Drosophila melanogaster: one gene and its partners. The protein of the gene in region 1 interacts with the protein of each later gene in a biochemical or structural test. Each region holds a gene or a part of one and is shown in the gene's direction. Other genes may lie near its edges. The genes, in order: His2Av, Parp1, Tip60 and JIL-1.

What was found.
Region 2: the proteins of His2Av (region 1) and Parp1 form a complex in vitro, tested with the Drosophila melanogaster proteins (one study listed by BioGRID).
Region 3: of the proteins of His2Av (region 1) and Tip60, one has a biochemical effect on the other in vitro, tested with the Drosophila melanogaster proteins (one study listed by BioGRID).
Region 4: of the proteins of His2Av (region 1) and JIL-1, one has a biochemical effect on the other in vitro, tested with the Drosophila melanogaster proteins (one study listed by BioGRID).

The regions. Positions count from the first base shown.
Region 1 is NT_033777.3:26,865,271-26,871,099, forward strand, and holds His2Av (histone H2A variant), read left to right. Parts: upstream 1-1,658; 5' UTR 1,659-1,822; coding exon 1,823-1,825; intron 1,826-2,138; coding exon 2,139-2,216; intron 2,217-2,398; coding exon 2,399-2,512; intron 2,513-3,085; coding exon 3,086-3,316; 3' UTR 3,317-3,416; exon of another isoform or gene 3,417-3,471; 3' UTR 3,472-3,950; downstream 3,951-5,829. Other genes in the region: ball (ballchen), read right to left, coding at 1-964, 1,021-1,254; SPARC (secreted protein, acidic, cysteine-rich), read right to left, coding at 4,108-4,860, 4,923-5,084. UniProt on the Drosophila melanogaster protein: Variant histone H2A which replaces conventional H2A in a subset of nucleosomes. Nucleosomes wrap and compact DNA into chromatin, limiting DNA accessibility to the cellular machineries which require DNA as a template.
Region 2 is NT_033777.3:3,583,108-3,589,033, reverse strand, and holds the start of Parp1 (Poly-(ADP-ribose) polymerase 1), read left to right. Parts: upstream 1-1,979; 5' UTR 1,980-2,054; coding exon 2,055-2,168; intron 2,169-3,523; coding exon 3,524-3,665; intron 3,666-3,720; coding exon 3,721-4,054; intron 4,055-5,926. UniProt on the Drosophila melanogaster protein: Poly-ADP-ribosyltransferase that mediates poly-ADP-ribosylation of proteins and plays a key role in DNA repair.
Region 3 is NC_004354.4:4,113,398-4,119,774, reverse strand, and holds Tip60 (Tat interactive protein 60kDa), read left to right. Parts: upstream 1-2,287; 5' UTR 2,288-2,922; coding exon 2,923-2,982; intron 2,983-3,049; coding exon 3,050-3,176; intron 3,177-3,230; coding exon 3,231-4,455; coding exon of another isoform or gene 4,456-4,465; exon of another isoform or gene 4,466-4,478; intron 4,479-4,560; coding exon 4,561-4,773; intron 4,774-4,845; coding exon 4,846-4,846; 3' UTR 4,847-4,975; downstream 4,976-6,377. Other genes in the region: tyf (twenty-four), read right to left, coding at 758-1,357; dgt4 (dim gamma-tubulin 4), read right to left, coding at 4,981-5,547; Nsun2 (NOP2-Sun domain family, member 2), read left to right, coding at 6,171-6,230, 6,308-6,377.
Region 4 is NT_037436.4:11,089,816-11,096,126, reverse strand, and holds the start of JIL-1 (JIL-1 kinase), read left to right. Parts: upstream 1-2,933; 5' UTR 2,934-3,855; intron 3,856-4,270; exon of another isoform or gene 4,271-4,354; 5' UTR 4,355-4,487; coding exon 4,488-5,229; intron 5,230-6,311. Other genes in the region: CG46439 (uncharacterized protein), read left to right, coding at 78-1,634; Iyd (iodotyrosine deiodinase), read left to right, coding at 1,776-1,932, 1,988-2,694. UniProt on the Drosophila melanogaster protein: Phosphorylates 'Ser-10' of histone H3. May regulate gene expression by establishing or maintaining the structure of more open chromatin regions. Also required for normal polytene chromosome structure, for oogenesis and for viability throughout development.

The DNA.
Region 1 (5,829 bases):
ACTTCTCCTCCTCCTCCTCATCATCTTCGCTGGCGGAGATTTTTTCGTCCAGTGATGAGTTCAAGACTGGCGAATCAATTTTTTTTGCTTTCCTGGCTGTTGCTGCCTTGCTCGTGCCGGGCGGACTTAGATTATTGTTGCTGCTGGTCTGTGGCTTCATCTTAAAGTCGAGATCTCCGTTGTTTGGAATTTTCAGCTGCTTCAGCGCACTTGAGAACCAACTGCGACACTTGTCGTAGTCCGGCTCCTGGTTGTGTGTTAGTTTTGAGACATACTTCATGAAATCCCCAATTGGCGGGGGCACTCCCTTCGGAAACAGCGTCTTCAGACTCTCGCCTATGTTATCCATAAATGCTTCCTTGGCCTTTTGAACTTTGGGGGGTACAGCCAGTAGTTTCTGCGTGACCCACGGCAACTCCGCGCCCAGCCACTCGATGAGATTGTAACCGAGTATCTCCAGATCAGCTCGTCTGGTTGGCACGCCCAGATGAGCATCCCTTGATGTGTATTCTATGGTGCCATTATGCATCTTCTTGGGGTCCGGCTTGAAGTCACCGGTGACGAAGTGTGAGGCCAGGCCGAAATCCACCAGGTACGCCTGCGCAGCGCCGCCTTTTTCCAGGCCCAGCAGTATGTTGGCTGCCTTAAGATCGGCATGAACGTAGCCGTTGCTGTGCATGTACTGATAGACGTCCAGCATCTGAATGGCCAGTCGGTAGACAGTGCCCTCGGGCAGTCGCTTGCCGTTCTGTTCCAGAAACTTGGTCAAATCGCTGCCGTAGCGCGGCATGACTATAAATCGATGCTTTTCACCATTGACCTCCACGGAACCATTAGCCAGTATGTAGGGCATGCCCAGGGACTTGAGACCGTGCTTCTGCATGAACTGTTTGATGTCCTCCAGCTTGGCGTTGCGCAGGTAGAAGTGCATCTCCACGAACAGAGGACCATTGCCATGTGGCTCCTAAAAATACGATTATAATAGCAAATCTCCACAAAAAAAAAACGAGCGGCACTCACGCATTTGACCACAGCATCGTAGTTCTTCTCACCCACTTTGCAAGCCGCGTAGATCTCACCGAATCCTCCAACTCCGATCGAGGGTCCAATGCGCCACTGGCCTTTGGCTAAATCGGTGAAAACTGTGCCCTCCTTCACCTTCTCCGGCATCTTGTACAGCTTGCTCTTGGCCTTCTTGGCCGACACCACCTTCTTGGCCGGAGCGGCGGCTTTCGGCTTGGCTACACGCGGCATTCTCTGGGCAAGATCGTCGTTAAATAGCGGCCAAGTATAATATTCGCAAATTCCGCTCGAAATGCCGGGCCATCAGGGTTGCCAATCGGCGCGGGGAGTAGCGTCCTTCAGGGTTGTCAAGTGAGTGACAGCTTAAAAAAAAATATAACCCAGTAGGACTACTTGTAAAAACGACGTATTTCCAGGGCTGTTGCCGAGTCATTGAAACATAAAAATAAAAAAGGATGATTATGATTTCAAGGATATATTACGATAGACAGCTCTGCAAAACGGCGCCACTTGGCAATGTGCGGCCACAAAAGGAAGCTACCATCTAGGGGTGAGGGCATATCGATTGGCCACACATCGATATATTCCGTTCCACCCCTGGCGTCCGCTGACGGCGTCTTTTCCCCGAAAAAATTTCAAGTAGTCGAAACCGAATTCCGTAGAAACAACTCGCACGCTCCGGTTTCGTGTTGCAACAAAATAGGCATTCCCATCGCGGCAGTTAGAATCACCGAGTGCCCAGAGTCACGTTCGTAAGCAGGCGCAGTTTACAGGCAGCAGAAAAATCGATTGAACAGAAATGGTAATATTGCGGTGAATTTTTGAGCGGCAGCGCATCTCGCTTTTCCCACTGCGCGTGCCCCCCGCGAATTAAATATTGATGCGGGGATTGCGGAGACGCGGACAACAAAGTGCACGCAAAGTGGACACCACGTAGGCCGCAACAACAAGGAGCAGCGAAATCGGCGGGCATTTGTTATTGTGCTGCTGCGGGCAATCGGCCGTAACCTCACTTTGGCAGCGGTGCCTCCATTTTGTGTTTTCTTCTGCGACTCGTGCCACATTCGCTTTAATTCGTTATTTTAAGAAATGCATTGTGCTGTGTCTATTCGCAGGCTGGCGGTAAAGCAGGCAAGGATTCGGGCAAGGCCAAGGCGAAGGCGGTATCGCGTTCCGCGCGCGCGGGTCTTCAGGTGAGTTTTACAATCTGTACCTCGGTTTTTGGCGCCTTTTCGGTACCCACCTCGCCAACGAGCATATTCCACCACACTAACAGGGTGCCCGCCTTCGTTGGTTGGTTGGGGTTGACAAAAACATAAACAAGCCAGCCGGTCAAGCCAATTAACCAGTTACCTGCCTCTTATGTCCCGGACAGTTCCCCGTGGGTCGCATCCATCGTCATCTCAAGAGCCGCACTACGTCACATGGACGCGTCGGAGCCACTGCAGCCGTGTACTCCGCTGCCATATTGGAATACCTGACCGCCGAGGTAAGTGTGCTTCCGCCGAGTTTTCCCGCTTTTCTCTCGTGGTACTTTTTCTCGCTTCAATGTAAACAGCATTTACCAGAAATATTCAAGGGAAACATTTTTTTTTCCACAGTTGCATTCTCTCCACTTTTCTTATTGTGTACAGTTATTTCGAATTTCCCCGTTCCAATTCAAAAACACACTTTCTTATTGACATTTCGTGTGGAATGAGAATGATGAAAATGTACATCTAATTCATGAAATGCTCGAGGCGCACATTATCAGTTGTTTAAATCTAAATAACAGTAGTTTCGATTTAATGTATAACGCTTTTAATTTTCTAAGAATTATACAGTTTTATAGAGTTTTTGCGCCATTAGGCAGTTACACTTTTCCCGCCTTTTTTCCGAATATAACGTTTACCGTTGAGTTTTTTTTTTTTAATGTTGTGATGTTTATTTAAAGAAATTTTATTTAAAAGATTTCAAAGTTTGTTTTGGTAATGAGCGATACAAGTAAATAAATTGCTTTAGCTTTTGCTTATCCTCAATTGAAATCTTTGATTAATTTCTTTGGTTTTCCCAATCATTTTAGGTCCTGGAGTTGGCAGGCAACGCATCGAAGGACTTGAAAGTGAAACGTATCACTCCTCGCCACTTACAGCTCGCCATTCGCGGAGACGAGGAGCTGGACAGCCTGATCAAGGCAACCATCGCTGGTGGCGGTGTCATTCCGCACATACACAAGTCGCTGATCGGCAAAAAGGAGGAAACGGTGCAGGATCCGCAGCGGAAGGGCAACGTCATTCTGTCGCAGGCCTACTAAGCCAGTCGGCAATCGGACGCCTTCGAAACATGCAACACTAATGTTTAATTCAGATTTCAGCAGAGACAAGCTAAAACACCGACGAGTTGTAATCATTTCTGTGCGCCAGCATATATTTCTTATATACAACGTAATACATAATTATGTAATTCTAGCATCTCCCCAACACTCACATACATACAAACAAAAAATACAAACACACAAAACGTATTTACCCGCACGCATCCTTGGCGAGGTTGAGTATGAAACAAAAACAAAACTTAATTTAGAGCAAAGTAATTACACGAATAAATTTAATAAAAAAAACTATAATAAAAACGCCAATCATGTTATTTCCAAAAAAAAAAAAAAAAAAAAAAAAAACTAGACGAGATGTTTGCGCTTGTGTCGATGAATGTAAAGAATTGCAACTACATAGATGGTAATTAATTTCAGCTGTAAGAAGTACAAGTTTTTCATAATTGTGAGAAAAGTGCAGTAGTATCGCTTAAAGTTCAGTTTTAATCAGGGCATTTAGCAGCTCGAACCCAATGTATTTGTAAGCCCAATAAACGTGTAAATGCCTAGAGCAAAATATCACAACTGTAGCTTTTCATCCGAAAGATAATAATGAATAGACTGACCTGACGTTTTTCAAAATGCGTATTATTTCAAAGAAGTTGTTATATATTTCATTGAATAGCGAGCATTTACACAATTAACTGCTAAATTAGACATTTTTCGGATTAAGGAAGCAAGTAGTAACTACCTATTGCATACTACAGAAGTGGATATGGAAAATGGGCTGTGTCCTAACCCAGAAGATGGGGCTGAGCCCGCTGGACGTCGTCGCAACGCTCCTTGAGGTCCTCGGGATCCAGCTCCAGGCAGGCGCCCCACTCCACCAGGGTGATGCGATGGTCCTTGTTGGAGTCGCAGGACTCGAGGAAGGGTGCGATGCAGTGCTCGAGACTGACCAGCGGAGCACGGATGGGGAAGAGCTCGTGGCGCGAGACGGAGCGATCGGTATCGCCGTCCAGGTCGCACCACTTCCACACGGCGGCGTTCGACCAGCGACGCGAGTTGTTGGTCTCCGCCTCCAGCTCCATCTGCATGTAGTGCTCGGTCAGCTCGTCGCGCTCGGCCAGGTCGCGCATCACGTTGAACAGCCAGTCGCGCATGCGCCTGGGGAAGTCCTTCAGGTCCTCGCCCTCGCAGCTCCTGGGCTCGTGGCAAGCGCCGTAGTAGTCGATGTGCATGTGCGCGTTGTCCGGATTGGTGCAGCCGGGCTCGCCGCTGTCGCACCAGCAGCGCTGCTGATACACAGAGCAGTCCGACGGCCAGGTCTCGTTGGTATTGGTGCAGACCAGGCGGCGAGTGTCCACCTCCTCCGGGCACTCCGGAATGCACACGCATTTGGGCTTCTCGTCGTGCATCTGGCAGATGCGACCGGCTCCGCAGCTCATCGTTTCGCACAGATCCACCTCGACAACGGGATTGAGTAGATTGTGCTGCACTTCGGCCAGCTTGGTGGCAATCTCATTCTCGCGCTCAATATCCTTGATCTGCGAATGGAATTCAGTTAGTGCATTAAGTGTGATTTGTGGTTTGACTTGCGGCCACATGCCTTGTTCTTCTCCTCCAGCAGGCGCAGGAACTCCTCTTCGTTCTCATCGATGTCGGACAGGTCGAGGTCCTCATCCAGCAGATCTTCGGAAAACTCCGTAGAGGCCTGGACGTGGCTCACAGCCAGCAGGCCCAAGCCGAGCAGCAGCCAAAGGGAGCGCATCTCGAATGGCGATCTCAACTACAGGGATTGCAAGTAAAGCATCTTTAAAACACCTTTTTCTTCTCTTTATATTTAAACTATATATTTGGAACTAAAAGTGCCTTTATAAATAGAGTACATTATCAAGTCATTGCGATTGTGAAAACCCAAATTACATTGAGATTAGCTGTGGCCCTGGCCCAACTTCCGTTTCAAGGATTGGTTTGCGACTGTACCGTGTGCGCTGCGTCGTTACTGTACTCCACTGGCGATCTTGTAACCACCAAACAACGGGGTGGTTTTACATGCACATCTCGTGCGGCGTCTTTTTGCTCATTGAAAACAATTGAAGAAGCCGCAAAAATCTTGCAGGGTTCAAAAGGTCAACGCGAATGTGGCGCGCAGATACAGATGCATTTCCTTTTATGGGCAATTTTATTTATGGATCTTTAGATCTTGTGGAACAACAAAGCCAACTCATTGATGGCGGAAGATGACTACTGCAGATCTGGAGTTTTTAAAATAGAAACAAAGTCGGGGGAATGGATAAAATCTCAGAATTTTCAATGTTTGCTTTTCATTTCCTGCTGCCTGCTGCAAATAAGCATTTTTCTCGCTTTTTGCAACCGCAAATTTGAAATATGTTTGAATATTTCAGAATTTGGGGCATGTTGAACACATGTTGAGCAGTTCAAATCGTTTATGAAATCATCTATATATGCAGATGCTCCCATTAATGCGAATATACCTGATTAAAGCTGACCTT
Region 2 (5,926 bases), about 23 Mb from region 1:
ACTTTATGTGTGCACACGTATGCTCATGCATTGTAAATTTGACAAAATATGCCCTTCACCGTAGAAGTTCTTAGACTTTAAATCTATATTATTTTTGATCAATTGGCACCATGCGAAAAATTCTTGTTTTGCATTGCCTTAACGTTATTATTATTTGAAAATAGATTAGAAATAGCCAAATCTATGTACATAATATCACAAAAATAAATTTCAAAAATGACTTTATATAAGAATATTTGTCATTAGAGTATTCATCTTGCGGCGTGTGAAAAATTAATAAGGCAATGATTGTTGAGTGCTTGTGTCCGCACTTCGTGCCTCAAGATATGAACAAAGCAAAGACACTAGAATAATTCTAGTGTCTTTGATGTGACTTTTGCAATAAACAGTTTTCATATTTTTATTTATTTTACAAATTTGTATTTTCTACTTCGTATTATTTTTATGAAATATTTATTTCTCGATGTAATGTATTCCTTTTGTTATAAGTAGTTATAATAATTTATATTTTACTTCCTTTAATTATTTAGCATACTTATTAAGTCATTTGACTTAATATGATTTATATATGATAATGATCCATTTTTATTATTTAAAATGCACATTAGATTCAGTTGTTTTTCAGTATGTTATTTAAATAACTGACGACTGAAAAATCGAGCAGTATATAATAAAAAACAATAGTTAGAAAAATAACTTAATTGGGGAATGTGGAAATGTTTTAATGTTAAACATTAAAATATTTCAAGTCGACTCGAAGGTCATATACGTAAATATAAGACCCCATTACAATTGTAATGGCCTCCCCGTGGTGTTCCCTGGGTACCGACTATTACACATATTACACATAAATAATTATCAACATAAATATAAATATGTAAACGGTAGCTAATTCGAGCGGCGATTTTAACAAACGAATTTAAAAAGCTTTAAAATTAAAAAATTTTAAAATTAAAATTAAAATTTTAAAATTATAATAAGAAGGGCGCGAATTTTTAAAAATTATTTTATTTCATCATATTGCTACGAAATTGGCAAAAAACTACCCTAATATGTACAATGTAAATTCATTTCTTTGATCAGAATTGATTTCGGCCCGAAAATCGTCTTCTAGCACAACACGCACACATATACGCGTTCTCGTCTCTTGTTTTTACTCACACAAGCAAGCAAATTCTATTTTTAGATTTCTTATGTTCTCAGCGTGAGCGAGCGGAAAGAGAGCAATTTTGGCCGTCACCAAAAAAGTGGCTGCATAGTGCCAAACCAATGTATGGCCGTTACGCATCTTGTTATTCTAGTGTCTTTGCCAAAACTAATGGTTGGGGGAGTGGCATATCCATAAGTCCATTAGACTTAAGCACATGCCTACACACAGCTTCTTATTATAGAAGAACAACACTAGTAAACCAAAAGCAATCCTGACTGGAATAAGCCCAAAGTCGTATACAGGATGATAATCGAAAACTTTATTTTAAGATTTCAATAAACAAAGTCGTGAGGATCTAAGAGCGTTTGTATCCAATAGCGAATGAACTCGAGTCCAAGAGAAATGCAAAGACAAATCAATGTTAGTAACTCCAAAGCTCTGTTTATTTCATTGGAACTCCAAAATCCAAAGCCCATATTTATAAAGCTCGAGGCCGAGGATTCAAAGTCAATCAATCCATATCAATTTGTTGAGTTCAGTTTCAGACCTTAATTAAAACGGTCGGTGTTATTATTCAGTAAGAACATAATTACCATTCCTTCTTAATCTTCCAAATGACCACCCTTTCTTGTTAAACTAGCTGGTGTATAATCGACACAGAATTTTAATGTTGCCGAATTCAATTACAAAGTTATATAGTTAACAGTCGTACGTCTTATAACAGAATACAGCTTAATTACGGAATGAGCTCCTGTACAAGGTCTTTAGAATCATTGGAAATCGTCTATAATAATATTTTTGTAGTCTTTAACATCGATATACAATTTTATTATTTAGGAAAATATCGCCAACATAATTCGATAAATAATAAATGTCTTGAAATTGACTTCCTTTAAAGTGTAATATGGATATTGAATTACCTTATCTTGCTGAGTATGCAAGAACTGGACGAGCCACTTGCAAAGGATGTAAAAGTACTATATCTAAAGATACTCTTCGGATTGCTGTCATGGTTCAAGTAAGTTACTATGTGGTACATACATACGTAAGTAGTCTGCAGATAAAAGATTGAAAATGAATTTGATTAAACTGATACTGATTTACGAAACTTTAAAAGATCCCGATTCGCCGTTAGTCCCATCGGTCGTCGACAGCTGCGGCATGTAATTGCCAGCGGTAAATCGTGTAGCGGTGGGGGCACAAATACTTGCGTCGCTCACCCACAGGGTGCCAGTGGCTTGCTGCAGTTCTCTGGCCCAGTGTGCGTGTGGCAATGCGTGCGGCCGAAGAAACGAAAACAGGTCCTCAAACATCACGTGAAATCGAAACTAGCGGGAACGACAGCGGGACTGACATTGGTACTGACAGTGGGACCGACATTGGGACCGACAGTGGGTCCGACATTGGGACCGACAGTGGGACCGACAGCGGGACTGACGGTGAGACCGACAGCGGGACTGACGGTGGGACCGACAGTGGGACTGACAGCGGGACCGACAGTGGGACCGACAGCGGGACTGACGTGGGACCGACAGTGGGATTAACAGTGGGACCGACAGCGGGACTGACAGTCGGACCAACAGTGGGACTGACAGTGGGACCGACAGCGGGACCGACAGTGGGACCGACCCTTCATTTCTTCTACCGTCACGCTTCAACCTATAAAAATGTTGCTTGTGAGTCGCTCACCCAAAGGGTTATTTCGCAGCAGGCGAAACACTCGGATATTTTTTATTGCCGAAAGTAGAGTGTCAAAAAACACCCGGGGGTATAGACACCCAGTTGGTGGGTGCGGGTGTACTAAGAGTGCCAGTGGCTTGCTGCAGTTCTGTGGTTGGGGCCGCAAAAATTGTAAGACCAGCTGAATTTTCGCCATGTCCTCACATGGTGATGATCGTTCTGAAACAAACTTTCACAGAGCGAAACATGAATACTAGCTTTTATAGTTTTCGAGATCATAGCTTTCATACAAAAGGACAAGGCCAATCAAGAATACCATGTCCGTCTGTCTGTCCGTATGAACGTCGAGATATCAGGAACTATAAAATCTAGAAGGTTGAGATTTAGCATACAGATTCTAGAGACATAGATGCAGCATGACCCATGTTGCCACGGCAACTCTAACGCCCACAAACCGCACAAAACTGCAACGCCAACCCTTTTGAAAAACGTGTTGATATTTTTTTTTTTCATTTTTATTAGTTCTGTAAATTTCTATCGACTTGCCACGCCCACTTTAAAGCCCTAAAATTGCACAAAACTGCCACGCACACACTTTTGAAAAATCGTTTTATTATTATTTTTTAATTGAAACGGTTACACCAAACGAACGAAAGACAAAGAAACTATTTTATTGTATTTCTTATTTTTTAGTCTGCATTTCATGATGCCAAAGTTCCGAATTGGTTTCATAAAACCTGCTTTTTTAAAAACCAGCGTCCCAGCTCAGTAGGAGACATACAAAACATTGGAAATCTCCGATTTGCCGATCAAAAGGAATTAACGGATCTTGTGGGTTAGTATTTAAAATTGATCTATATCAATTTAAAAACATTTTGAAATGTACTTAGAAAATATACAAGAAGTTATAAGCGCACAATTAGGAAAAAAGCGATCGAAGGCTTTTAACTTAGCATTAAAAGACTTTGGGATTGAATATGCAAAATCTAGTCGATCGACGTGTCGTGGATGTGAACAAAAAATAAACAAGGATCTAGTTCGCTTACGTAAAACTGTTTATGATACTGAAGTTGGTATGAAGTACGGAGGCCAACCTTTGTGGCATCATTTGGAATGCTTCGCCCAATTGCGCTCTGAGCTTGGCTGGTTTGCGTCAGGTGAAGATATGCCAGGATTTCAGAGCTTAGCAGATGATGATCAAGCGAAAGTTAAAAACGCCATACCGTAAGTTAATCTCACATTGAATTTCTATTAACTGTTCTGTAACTGTTCTGCATTGCTATTATTAAGTTATCCCTCTTAAAGAAAATAAGCTTGATTATACTGAAGATTGTAAACTGAAATAGATAACTGTAATTTGATCCACTAAGTATTCTGATCTCTTCTTGGTCATTCCTTAGTTGGGGATGCCCTTCAACTATATAGGTACAATAGTGTATATTCTTTGTTAAAAAATATTTATCAGGTAAAGGCAACATTTCCGGCACTAAAAAAATTAAATAATCGATCCCACCCTAAAAGATAAGACTCGAATTGTCCATGTCCGTATGAACGATGTGATTGTGGGAACTATAAAACTGGGTTGCGATTAAACATGCAGATCCGAGTGAAGCGGGCATATCAAAAGTTTTTTGACAATTGTAGATTGTAGAGGAAATCAACTATAACTTCGCCTGTAGTTTGTCGAAAAGTCAAGTGAATTTAACAATGTTATTTAATATATGTAAGTCGACCTTAATCGATGGGCATTGGTTGTATCGCCGCAGGAAAATAATGTAACTATTTTTCGCTATATTTAGGCTGGGTCGTGATTATTTGAGCGTAAATGTAACAGCTGAGTTAAAATTATACTGGAAAGGTACATACACTAGTGGGCATAAGTATTTAGACACCATTAGCTTGAAACTGCCGGGCTTTTCATAGTACAGTCAAATAAATAAGTAAACTATTGATGATAAAACAAAAAGTGCAATTACAGTTACACACGAAGGGTAAGTTTGGCTGTTTACCTTTTCAATTATCCTTGTGCTTATAAGAAAGCTAGACAGGCAACGATTTGGGCCGTGGCAAAAGTATTTAGACACATTTAATTAGTTCGCATTGATCTGTTGTTCGAAGAATATCAAATTTTCGACTTTTTTTTTAGATCATTTGAACATTTTTTCTTGATAACGTGGGACTGCCTACTTTTATTTCATTCATAAATTTGTTAAACATGGGGAAAACAAAGAAACTGAGCGAATTTATAAAAAATTGAATAATAATTAAGTATAACTCTGGTATTTCGGTACAAATTATCATTGATTTATACAAAATTCCACGGGCAACGGTGCATTACCAAATAAATAAATATAAAAAAACACACACAACCAAAAACGTTGCGCGTAGTGGCCGACCACGTAAAACAACTCAAAAGGGCGATGGTTATATTATACGGAAGTTTAAGCAGAATGTTCTACAAACTCCCCGATCGGTTGCCAAAGAACTAAAAGAAGGAACAGAAATCGATATCAGTGAAGGAACGTCTTAAGGAAGCCGATTTTGGAACATATGTTAGCAGAGTTATACCACAATAACTCTACAAATAAGTTAAAACGCCACGACTTTGCCAAAAAATATGTTGGACAGCCAGCATCATTCTGAAACAATGTTTTGTGGAGCGATGAAAGCTCTTTTGAGTTTCACTGATCAAAAAAATTTTTTTTTGTTAGATTACCGAAACATTATCGTAAAAAAGTGGCACCAGTGTGTCAGTGAATAAATCATTCAGGAAAAAATATATATAGATGTCCTTAATAATCATGCATTGCCCTAAATTGCTTGGAGAGTCCTTCATACTCCAGCAGGAGTATAAGGTCAGCATAAGGTCAAACTGATTACGCAGTTTCTGAAAGATGTTTGCGTAAACACATTGGATTAGCCACCTCAAAGCCCAGACCTCAACATAATAGAAAACCTCTGGTCATATATAAAACAAAAAAAGGCGTGCAAACTTATCTAAAAGTCGCGAAGAAACGATTTTGGAAATTCAAACCTTATGGAAGGATATTTCAATAGATTATATCCACAGCTTGGTACAGTCTGTACCAAAACGTA
Region 3 (6,377 bases), on another chromosome or scaffold:
ATTACTTGATGGGACCAAATGTAACGGCACTATTTCGAAAGCCACAATCCCAGTCAGTCAGAACGAGATAACAGTATGCTTGGTCTATTTCTACATCATTTTCGAATTCTTTGCCATTAACTTCGTAAACGGTACTTTGGCTTCTATTCGCATACATATATGTATGTATGTGAGTATGTATTCATTAGGGGGATGCAATTTGACTGTCAATATTTATTTTTTTTTTAATAAAATTCGGTTTTCGATAAAACAGTGTTTGTGAGTGAGTAATCGGCTCACTTAAAGTTTTTTCCAAAGGTCATGTTTTAAGGGGATTTCGGCATTTTCATTTTCGACAACTTTAATGGACCGCAAGCGTAAGAATCTATTTTAGTTTATAGCTTAGTGTGCAAATAAACAATATTTATATCTAATTTATGTATACCTTGGTTTTGGTGGTAACGTAAAGATCGGACAACTTGCTGTCCAATACTGGAATTCCACCCAAAATCGAAATTAGTTTCAAATTTTACGTTTACTTAGTTGTTTCTCAACTTAGTCGCCCTGGTAGAGCTCTATTCAAGCCTGGCCATGCATAAGATATGGAGTCCAAACACCATAGAGCTTTGGAGCCTCCAGAACGTACACAAATGTGAAATTTTGCGAGTAACAAACATAACTATACCTTTTTCTTAATAAAACAATATCTTAACTCGGTTTCTGCTTAACATGCACTATATTTCCACCTTAAGATGCAACTCAGCCAGAGCGCACTTACCTTTTTCTTCTTCTGTCGCTTGCCGACATTCTGATCGTCCTGGGTCTTGCCCTTGGCAGTGGCTCCGTACTGGAGTACCCTGCGGTTTGGTCGCGACAGTTCAGCGCTGGGCGAATCCTTTAGCATGGCAAAGACCTGCGAGAAGGACGTATCTCCTGCTGCTGCTTCTGCTGCGGATCCTTTGGCAGCGTCTGCCGTGGCTGCGTGGTTACCAGAGCTATGGCTATTACTAGGGGATGATGACTTCTTGGGGTCATTGCCTCTGCTGCTACTGCCGCTGGTGGCTACATGGTTGGCAGCCACTGGTGCCGCTCCTTGGCTGTCCTCGTCTTTGGCCCCCTGGTTCCTACAGGCCTCGTCAAGCTGCGCGTCTGCCTTCGCCACATGGTCTGACATCATGGTCATAAGCTGCTCCTGTGGGAACGGCGTCGGCGTTGTTTTGGTGACGGTGGTCGTCGTGGTGCTCTCGCTCATCGTGCCAGCGGCAATCGAGACGATGGGCGTGTCCGGTATGATCGTTGGCAGTTTGGCAGCTGCTCCACCAGATGCCACACGATCCGCCGGTGTGTCCGATGATGACGGCGTTTGTTCATTGTTCATCTTCTTTCGTTTGGTGGCATGCAACGAAGGAGAAAAACAAATGCCATTCGAATTCCTCGAATCTGTTAGGGCGTGTGAGAAGAGGGGAATGTTTGTTTTAGTAAACGGGTATATCTCGCATTCCCATTAACTGCTTACAAACTGTTTCTTCTCTTCGCGATGTTTCTAGGTAGCCCAGCTGCCCAGCCGCCGTGTGGTTGCCACCGCGACTGCAAGTGCTCTGCAGGCTGTTCCGCCGATTCCTAACGATTCCTCTCGACTTCCAGACGGTTTGAGGCACAGGGGAGCCCACCTATTGCGCATCAGTTTGGACTCCTGCTGCACTTGACAGGCCTGTCGTCAGTAGCTCTCCTCCGGCTCAAACCTTTGCTCGCGGCATTTACGTAGGTTCCTGGGCACGGGGATGCGGATTGCTCGCAAACAGACCGGAATACGGAAATGTGTGCGCACGGATCTGCAATTGATTGGGAAATGGGGATGAAGTTGAGACTAAAACTGAAACTGAGACATTGGACCACTGACTGGGTGTTTTGCAGCATTTGTTGTTGTTCTGGTCATGCGGACGAGCGACAAGGGGCGGTGGGTGGTAGCAGGTGCGTCTGTTTAGTCTTTGGCGACCCCTTGCGGCCCACTGACTTCGAATTTCTTTAAAAAGCACTGGTCTCTTTCCATATTCATTTTTTTTATTTTTTTTTTTTTTTGGCTAAAAAGCAGTGTTGCTAACTACGCTGCGTGCCAGGGTTGACAAATGCTGTTTGTTGTTTGTAGGGGCAAGCCGTTGAGATTGCTAAATCGGCGTTTGCTCTAGGCTTGCATCTTACTAATCAACACGAGATTGCCTGCCCGTTTTGCAACTAATTAGTGGGATATGCCCATCGAGTTGGCAGCCCTGCGGCTGTTGTCAGTGGCAACACTATCGCAAAACACGTCATTTTGACACAGCTTTTTCACCAATTTCCCGCTCAGCTCGTCAGCATTGGGGCACTGCGGCACAGTTGCCCAGCAGTTGTGGTCACAATTACCCAGTAACTGAAGTTTTCCGCGGATCACAGTAGTCATTTATTGATAAATACGCCAGTCGATGACAGCTGTATAACTTTCTGCGCACTCACACGAGCGCACACGAATGTACGCACCCACACACACGCACACAAATTTACGCCTGTGTACATTTCTCTGACCTTCTCAGCGTTTTTATTTTTTGGTTTGGCAACTGAAAAGAAGGGAGCACATAACTGCGCACTCAAGTTCTAGCAACTGCAATTGAGTCGAACGGTTGTGCTTAATATGTTACAGTTGTTTGTAAGCGGGCGAAATTGTTTAATTGCACAGTAGGCACATGAGAAAAAATACCGAACCCGAATTGAAAAACTCTCTGGAATTGTTGTTGTGTTGTGCAGCACTTTGAAAAGGCGACGCGACGCTGCGCAGCACTGCCCATGTCATCAACATTTTTAAACCGCTGATTCACTGTGGCGGTAATCGATTGGTCGATAGTTATTTACGTTTCGCTATCTGGCAATACTGCTGTTTTAGGAAAAAAAAAACGCGTAAAATATAAACAAATGAAAATTAACCACAAATATGAGTTCGACGACGATGTGGCCTCCATATGCGAGTCAACGGTGGGTTCCGCTACGCCTTGGCGTGTTTTGGGTGTTCATTCTAATGGTTTTAACCGCAAACTTGCAGGCCGCCCTAACCGAGGGATGTCGTTTACCCGTCAGGATGCACAAAACGGACGACTGGCCACTAGCGGAGATTGTGAGCATCAAGGAGTTGGATGGGCGCCGGCAGTTTTACGTGCACTATGTGGACTGTGAGTACCAAGTCGTCCAGTGGGAGCATATTTAGTATAACTGCCAATCCGCAGTCAACAAGCGCTTGGACGAGTGGGTCAACGAGGAGGATCTGTACACGCGAAAGGTGCAATTTCCGCGGAGAGACGGCTCACAAACAGGCACCAGCACTGGAGTGACCACGCCACAGCGCCACCATTCCCTAGCGGGCAGCGTTTCTCGGCCTACATCACCGCAACACCCTGGTTCCGGGGCTCTGGCAGCCATCCCCCAGACTCCTACTGGTGCATCAGGCAGTGTTCCTCCCCCTGCTGGCATTCCAAACTCTGTGGCTCCACCCGGAACACCAAGCAGTGGGGGAGAGCTTGTGAATGGCAACAATCTGGCCGCAGCCCTTCAGAAACGCATCAATCGCAAGCGAAAAAACCACGGAGGCTCGGCCCATGGACACCACAGTCTGACCAGTCAACAGCAGCAGTCACATCCGCATCCTACAACTCCGCAGACACCCACGGCTACGCCCGTGCATGTGACCGGCGACGGTTTAATAAGCGGAGCGGCCAATGATGATGGTGATGGATCGCAGGATGGCAAGACGCCCACGCCGAGGCAATCAGGCAGCATGGTTACGCACCAGGACGACGTGGTCACCCGCATGAAGAACGTGGAGATGATCGAGCTGGGCAGGCATCGCATTAAGCCCTGGTATTTCTCACCCTATCCGCAAGAGCTGTGTCAAATGCCCTGCATCTACATCTGCGAGTTCTGCCTGAAGTACAGGAAGAGCAGGAAGTGCCTGGAGAGGCACCTGTCCAAGTGCAATCTTAGGCATCCACCGGGAAACGAGATCTATCGCAAACATACAATTTCCTTCTTTGAAATCGATGGACGCAAAAACAAGGTGTATGCCCAGAACTTGTGCCTGCTTGCCAAACTCTTTCTCGACCACAAGACACTCTACTATGATACCGATCCGTTTCTCTTCTACGTAATGACAGAGTTCGACTCGCGCGGCTTCCACATAGTAGGGTACTTCTCCAAGGAGAAGGAGAGCACAGAGGACTACAACGTGGCCTGCATTCTCACAATGCCTCCGTATCAGCGCAAGGGCTACGGCAAGCTGCTCATTGAGTTCAGCTACGAGTTGTCCAAGTTCGAGGGCAAGACGGGATCGCCGGAGAAACCATTGTCTGATCTGGGTTTGCTGTCCTATCGATCGTACTGGGCGCAAACCATACTGGAGATCTTTATCAGCCAAAACCCGAGCACGGACGGCGAAAAGCCCACTATAACTATAAAGTATGGCTAGTTCTAAGCTTAAAGTAATACAATTTTCAATCCACAGAGATTGTGCTTCATTGCCGAAACATAGATTAATCATGCTCCCAAAATTTTTCTTCACAGCGACATCTGCGAATGCACATCCATCAAAAAAGAGGACGTGATCTCAACGCTGCAGAACCTGAACCTGATCAACTACTACAAGGGCCAGTACATCGTGTGCATCAACCGGGTTATCATCGAGCAACACCGGCGAGCAATGGACAAGCGCAAGATCCGCATCGACTCGAAATGCCTGCACTGGACACCCAAAGACTGGTCCAAGCGCTCCAAATGGTAATCTCCTCATCTTCTCCGTATAAATAACTGAGTTTAAACAGCTTTGAATCCGTTTTTTTTTGTTTTTAGATTTCCGCTACCAATATTCTTCATCGGATGATCCTGGCTTCGTTGTAGCTTGTAGTTTTCATTTACAGTTTCCGTTTTTAATGTTATAAACTAGTTTATATCATACAATATTATATATACTTTTGAGACGACCGGCTAGTTGTTTGTTTCCCGCGGTGGGAGAAGATCCTCCACAAGGCGGTCCATTGCCTGTATCATGCCCATCTCCATACCATTCTCCAATCCATCGACGGCGGTACGCAAACTTCTTAGAGCTTCTTGGTTCTGGGCGAACTCCCGTTGTTGCCGGCATAGATTTAGGCGCGGTTTGTGGGTGGTGTTCAGATGTTCCAGGCACTGCTTCACATCGTTGGAGTCCAGAATGGCGGGACGCAGATCACTGCCCAGTTTGGATCGCAAACTAGCGATATCCTTGGCCGCCTGGTCGACTTGATTCACATCAGATACACGATGGGCATCCACGGCCGCCTGCAGGGCTCCGCACTTCAGGAGCCTCGCCAGCCGCCCAAAGTCCCGCTGATACTCACACTTGGCGTCCAGCCAAATGCGTACTTGCTCCTCCACCTGGCGCTTTACATTGCGGCTGTCTTCCTGAAAACGGCGCATCGCCTCCAGGTGCAGCAGGTATTGGATGTCGTCCATGGTGCCCTCAGTTGTCAATGATGGCGGTGTGGTCGTGGTGGGAGTGGGTGGAGTTTCCATAGTGGCTTACAAAAACTTCTTAGTTTTTAAAGTGGGAAATTCGGATTCGATTGCCGACGCTATCGCTTTCGCAGCTGCTATCGGTAGCATTTGAAGTCGGCTAACGGAGATTTTTGTAACGATAGGCGCGTAGCTATGTTCGAGTCAAATTTGGCTATTAATAACTATATAAAAAAAAAATGAAAATAATTCGAAAATGTAAATAACAACAAGATATGTAGGTTTCCTTACATAAACTAACAGGTTTTTAAAGTTTCTAGAAAACTGAAATAAGTTGTTTGATTTTGCTTACCGATAGTTGGGAAACCAGCTCTTATTGATTTTGGGGCTAAAAATGTAAGCCATGCAAATGAAGTTAACGTTTAAAAACAAGTCAATTCCTTGCAGCACGGAAACCAAGTACTGTAAAAAGTAATTCCCTTTCAATTCAATTTCACTTCTTTAGCAGCATATTTCACCTTCCCTTCCAAGCACCAAATGTCCGGCGACTCTCGCGCGACAGCGTTGCCAGTTAGGCGACGAACACGTTTTAACTATTCGTTTCGTTTAGAAAACACACAACGCTTGCCTAATTTTTTTTAAACATATTCAGTGGACTGATAACTTGGTATTGATATTGACAAATGGGTCGAAACCAGAAGCAAAATTTTTTCGCGGCTCGCAAACGTCAAAAGCGGGAGAATGTGAGTCACCTCAATTTGAAAGGAGAAACATTCCACGTTTTTGGATTTTATTCTTAAATATATTTTTTATCTTAAAGGGTCCCAAGCGCACCGATCGTCAGGCCCAGCCGTATGAGGAGATCAAAAGGGATAATGCCTTCTTCATCA
Region 4 (6,311 bases), on another chromosome or scaffold:
GCCATTAAAGAACCCAAAGACCGTTGAAAGCGAGGTGAACCCGAATGTGACGCTACTGAAGCGCCAGATCGCCGAGGATGGAACCAAAACACAGGCACTGTTACTTCAAGCGTTCCGCTTCGAGTTGCCTAGTGACGCCAATGCATCTCCACTCCTCCAGGATCAGTTCCAGCCACAGTCAGTCAGCAGGAGGCATTAAGCCCGCTTTGGCATCACTAGATCCACCTAAAACACCCAATAGCATCGAGAAAACAAAGAAATCCGGGGGATTTCTCTCTTTTTTGTTTGGCAAACGAGACAGGCGGGCGAGGAATCAGAGTGAGACAAATGGAAACCATATCTCATTGGAGGATCATGATGTCAGGAAGCTTATACGTCTCTATAGCAAGCATAATAGCCTTTACAACCGCCATAATCGCTACTATGGTAACAAAGATATCGACGATGACTGCTACAACAGAATGGTGCGCTCATTTCCGGGAAGAAGCGTCTCGGAACTGAGATCCTGTCTGGAGGAGCTAAGGACGCTCTTTGAGCGGGAATACACCATTATCGAACGTGCTCGAAGGAAGTGTGGAGAGATAATGAGTCCTTCAATTCGCTACTATAATGAATTTCTTTTCCTGGTGCCACATCTTAATATACACTTCGACAAGGATCTTCCTGCCAGTGGAACTAGCCCACTCGCCGCCGGAAAACTTTTGCAAAATCCGATAGCCAACCCAGAGATGTTGTGCCAAAAGTTGACCAATTTCACGGATTTTCCTCTGGCCGGTTTTCCCGGCAATCTACTAACCAAGAGGCCCAAAAAAGACCCCCAAGACCGGCCAAACAAGAAGATCAAACCAATTCCTGATCAAGAAAATGCGAAGCAAGAAAATCCCATAGAGCAGGAAATTCAGGAGGCAGAAAAAGTCGCTGATCATGAAGTTTCGGTAGAAGAGAAAATCAGCGGGTTGGAGGATCAGGAACAGAAAGACGCACTCTCTCCATCGGAGCAGAAGAACATACAAAACAGTAAGGATAAAACCAGTCATCATCATTCCAATTGCAAGATGTCCAGCCATGAGAAGGATTTAGTATCCACCAATTTGACCTGTCCCTGCAAGCCGGAAGTGGAATCCTCACAAAGCCCAGTTTCCTGCCCCTGGATAGCCGAAAATTCAAAGTGTGAACCCCCGTGTCGGGAAACACCACCACAATCTACGCGAAATTCCGTATCCAGTCCGCAAAATTCAGATATTTCTGAATCCAGCAAAGAACCGGCTCACTTGATGGAGAAGGAACCATCCGGTCAGGAATCCGCGAATAGCCAGCAAGTGCAGATGCTTTGCGATATGATACGTACCGAGCTAACCACTGCTCCCGATTTTATATTCTTCGATGCCAAGTGGCGGATCATCGAGATTCTGAGAGAGGTGCACAAGCGCCAATTGGTTCACCAGAAGGCCATTCCACTCAACAATACACGCCGACCGATTCCGCCGCAAAAACGAAAACCGGGTGAGCCCAATCAGATGCTTAAGAATCCAAAATGCATGTCGGATAGGAGTGCCCACGAAAAGGGACAACAGAGGATGTGCGAGCATCACAAGGGCAGCCATTGCACCTACTGCTGCCGGAACAACAACTGAAGTGGAAACCAAAACCCATCCACCAGCATCCATCGCTATCAGCAATAGCCGTGACCCACTTAACCAAGTGATAAGCCAATCCGAGCGCAAAAGCAAAGCCACTTTCTCTCCGTCGCAAAAGCAGTTACATCTTGAAGCACCATGGATGTGGACGAACTGATCAGCAGCTCCAAGCTACTCAAGCATTGGCCAAGTTTATTTATCACTCTGGCGCTGATATGGATCGTAAAAAGATTGTTTTTTAAAGGGAATCGCGTATTAAAAACATATAATTTAGATGAACAAGTCGAGGAGGAGGGTAAGTTTTAAGATTATCCACGGTGAACATAAAGCTATTCTATTCTATTTTCCAGTTGAACACTTTGCCGATCTTGGCGATGAACTGCAACCGGCTCTGGAGGATAAGCCCCATGTGCCCTTCGTTCCCGGCCAGAATCTCAACCCTAATGGAGCCAAACGCTTATATGAACTCATGCGTGGACGCCGTAGCATTCGCTCCTTTAATAGCCATCCCAAACCGGATCTCAGCGTGATAGAGGACTGCATTCGGGCGGCGGGAACAGCTCCCAGTGGCGCACACACAGAACCCTGGACGTACTGCGTCGTACAGGAGCCGGAACTCAAGCGATCCATTCGGGAAATTGTGGAACAGGAGGAGCTGGTCAACTACAGCCAGAGGATGCATCCGCAGTGGGTCACCGATCTGCGACCCCTGCAAACCAATCATGTCAAGGAGTATCTCACCGAGGCGCCGTACCTTATACTGATCTTCAAGCAGACCTATGGATTGTCGGAGAATGGAAAGCGAATGAGGAGGCATTACTACAACGAGATATCCACTTCGATTGCGGCCGGTATCCTTTTGTGTGCCCTTCAAGCGGCAGGACTCGCATCGCTGGTCACCACTCCTTTGAACTGCGGTCCAGCCTTGAGAAACCTGCTCGGGCGACCCGTCAATGAAAAATTACTCATCCTACTGCCCGTTGGTTATCCGAAAGATGGATGCACAGTTCCCGACTTGGCGAGAAAGAATTTGTCAAATATTATGGTTACTTTTTAAGGTTTATTTACGTCCGTGCAGCTTACGAAATAGTTCAATAAAACCAAACTAAAATTTATGGTAATTCTTATATTTTTTCTATTGATAAACGAAATTTTCACATTTTCCTTAAATTTATTCTTCATTATAATTGTTAATCAAAATATAATATTCTTAAATATTTGAAACGATAGTCTCCACCATCCCTGCCAACCGATATACGGCTGCTTTCCAGCACCACGCTTTTTGGCCTCTTGTCAACACTATCGATAACGATAGCTACGGTAAGTGACACAAAAGCAAAGGGAAAATTTCTACGTGCGGTTCGTGTGCTGTGTGTTGAAATTACAAATAGCCAATTATCCGGCATTAATCGTTTTAGGGCTCTCTCGATTTTAATTGTATTATATTGTACTATAATACAGATATAAACCCGATTTGATCGAGTGTAACGGAAATCGACGCGATTCCCATCAAGGTGGTCCGTACCTAATAAGTGTTCACGAATGAGAGCAAAGCAGATGGCGGAGAGCGTCCTGCGTTTCAATGTGTGTGTGCGTAAACGAGTAGAAAGCGGCGGTAAAAACCTTCTCGTGTAACACAAAACAAATTATACAAAACATTCAATCTCAATATCAAAACGTTACTGTATTGTCTATTGAAAAACAAGTACAAGCGTACGCAGGGAAATTGGAAAATCCATTGAAAATCGAGAGCAACAGTCGCCGGAGCGGAATCAGCGGACGAAAACAAAAACGCTTTAAAAACGCAGCCGATACAGAAAGTGCCAGCGTGTGAGTGTGCATATGTGTACGTAGTTGTGGGCAAAGAGAACGGTAAAGAATAAGAAATCGAAAAAAAAAAATAAAAAACTAACTGTGGAAGTGAAAAATGCGCGACTGATAAAGATTGTGATAATCACGGCATAATATAACAAGCAAAAAAGAAGAATGAAAAGAAACCGCAACCGAATTGGTTGAATAATATTTAAGCCAACGCCAGTGCTGCATAAATCGGTGCACATTATCATTGGAACGTTCAGTGTTGCACATCGCTACCGCCCCACGCATAATCCAACACTCTTCCCCCTCCCCATCCAGATCCACCCACTCACACACACACACACTCCGATTCGGATTTCTTCGTCTGCATTATAATATTGCGCTTATAATCTTTCGCGAGGTGAGTCGAACTCCCAAATAGTGTTCTATTCAGAAATGAGTTTCCCCATCCAATTGTCCGCTAACAGCGGGAAAATTACTCCCGCCTGCGTTGAAACTGTACCATATTGTGGATGAAGAAATGGGATAGAAATGGGCAATGGGCATTGGGAAGGTACGGTGAAGATTGCCTAAATAGAACACAATAAGAAACAGCTATGTTCAAAACATCTTGCGGAATAAATTTCAACAATTCAGTTATTATTTATTTAGTATTTAAAATGTGTGAACTGGAACATTTATATCGTACATGTTGTCTATGCATTGTTGAACATCCATGAATAGAAAAAACTAATTCAGTTTCTAATTAAAAATACTACAACAATAAAACAGTCTAGCTAGCCAAAATGACAACTTTATGTCAGTACTCATATAAGAATGTGTCAAAAAGTTTAATGATTGTCTACAAATTGTTAGCGATTTTCGAAAAAATGTCTTTACTTTGATTTCTGTTTTTCCAGCTCAACGATGCGCCACGATCAGTCCCTGGACCTTTTTATTTTTATTTGTTAATTCCTGGAATATCCATCGATTACGTGAGGAGCACGTAGAGCATTATTAAAGGCATAGGATCTTTTACGGAAGAATCTAGCCATGAGTCGCTTGCAAAAGCAAAACTACGAGATCTTAAGCGGTACAAGTACGTCGCGCCTCAAGAATCATCAACATCCCCGTGAATCGGAGTCACTAGCCTACGAGGAGCCAGATCAAATGGTGCGGAATCATCTAAATGGCCAGCTGGTAGCCAATGGCAATGGCAAAACGCGAAAGAATAGCAATTCCGAAACGATGACCAATGGGAAAAAGTCCAAACTGAATACGGAGGGATCCGGCTCTGGTTCTGGAAAGACCTTGAACTACAATAATAATAACAATAACAACAACAGCATCAGTGCCACCAACGGTCAGTACACCAATAGCAGCAGCAAGACCACTTCAGCATCTGCAAGGGATTACACTTACCGCGAGACCATATCACCGCCCACACCTCCATCCCCGCCCACCACAAATGTGGCGGATATTGTTTGCATATCGGATGCGGAGAGCGAGGACGGACGCGATCCCGAGCGGGAGTACTACGACCAGGACATGGAGGAGGATGAGCCGAACGGGATAGAGATCGATGAATCCAGCTCCAGCTTGTCCAAGGCCAAGTCCAACAATGCAGCTGCAGCGGCGGCGGCGGCGGCTGCAGCAGCGGCAGCAGCAGCCTCGAAGGCCTCCTCGTCGACCACGCCCTCCTACGCCATGCCCACCAGCAATAGTACACCCCTTGATCTGGACAATGAGGCCCATCAACGGGACCTGGAGGCGGTCACCGATCTGAAATACTACGGTGAGTCATTCCACTCAATGATAGTGATAAAGAAGACCGGGCCAACTGCAAGCACAAGCTAGATAAGAAAATTTGTTACAAGTTGCAGGTCAGGATGTACTTATGTTAAATATGATAGTTTAATAATTCCGTCCATATCAAATTAAACCGCAACTTCTTCCCTGTGAATATTTCATGCCATTTTAAGGCAGCTGCCACAGAGCTTATCAAACATGGTAGTGTGGTGGAATAATTGATAACTTTAACCGGGTGGATGTCTCAAGGTTTTATTGAAATGTCGGCAGAGGGTGGCTGGTCAATGCCAGATGAAGTGCCGTCTCTATCGTTCTTTGTTAAAGTGGAGCACATGCATTTAACCTTGACACGATTACCCAGAAAACTCAACCCGGCTTTGTTCGCTCTTTGGGCCAAATCCAAAACTACTGACCTCCCCTGAAATCGCCCAACCTCGCCGTACTCACCTCTCACCACACTCTACATACATATACACAAAGCAGACAGAATATCCACCACCCAAATGTCTAATTTGATAACCGTGGGTCGAAAACCTATTGTTGCTGCTTGTTATTTGTTAAATTTGACACTTTTCGGTTGCATTTTTAAATAAATATTATTTACTGAGGACATTGGTCTGGATTTTGGTGTGGAAAGTAACACCTTTTTGAAGTAAACGTTTTTGTCAAGAGGTTTTCACAACAGCTGTTTATAAATCGAATAAAATAAATCTAGATAAAAACTAAACCTTCTCTAGTTTCGATTAAAATTCAATTCATCAAAGTTTCTATCTATCTCGATAATTAAGATGTAGTATTATTTCTTAAATAGTTCTTATATCTGGCTTATATCTTTCATAATATCATATGGAACCACTGTGCCACTTTTCGTCATCGCCGTGCAGTCGTGACCATGTCAGTTGTTTGTACAAATGTGCGTGCAACGCTGTTTGCGAGCGTTTGCTGTACTCACAAACATGCTTGTTTGCATAAACGGTTGGTTGTTGTTTCTAGGCAATTTATTTACTTGAACTTGGCAATGCAACTTGCCAAGCATAGATACATATGTATGTATGTAGGTATGTACAT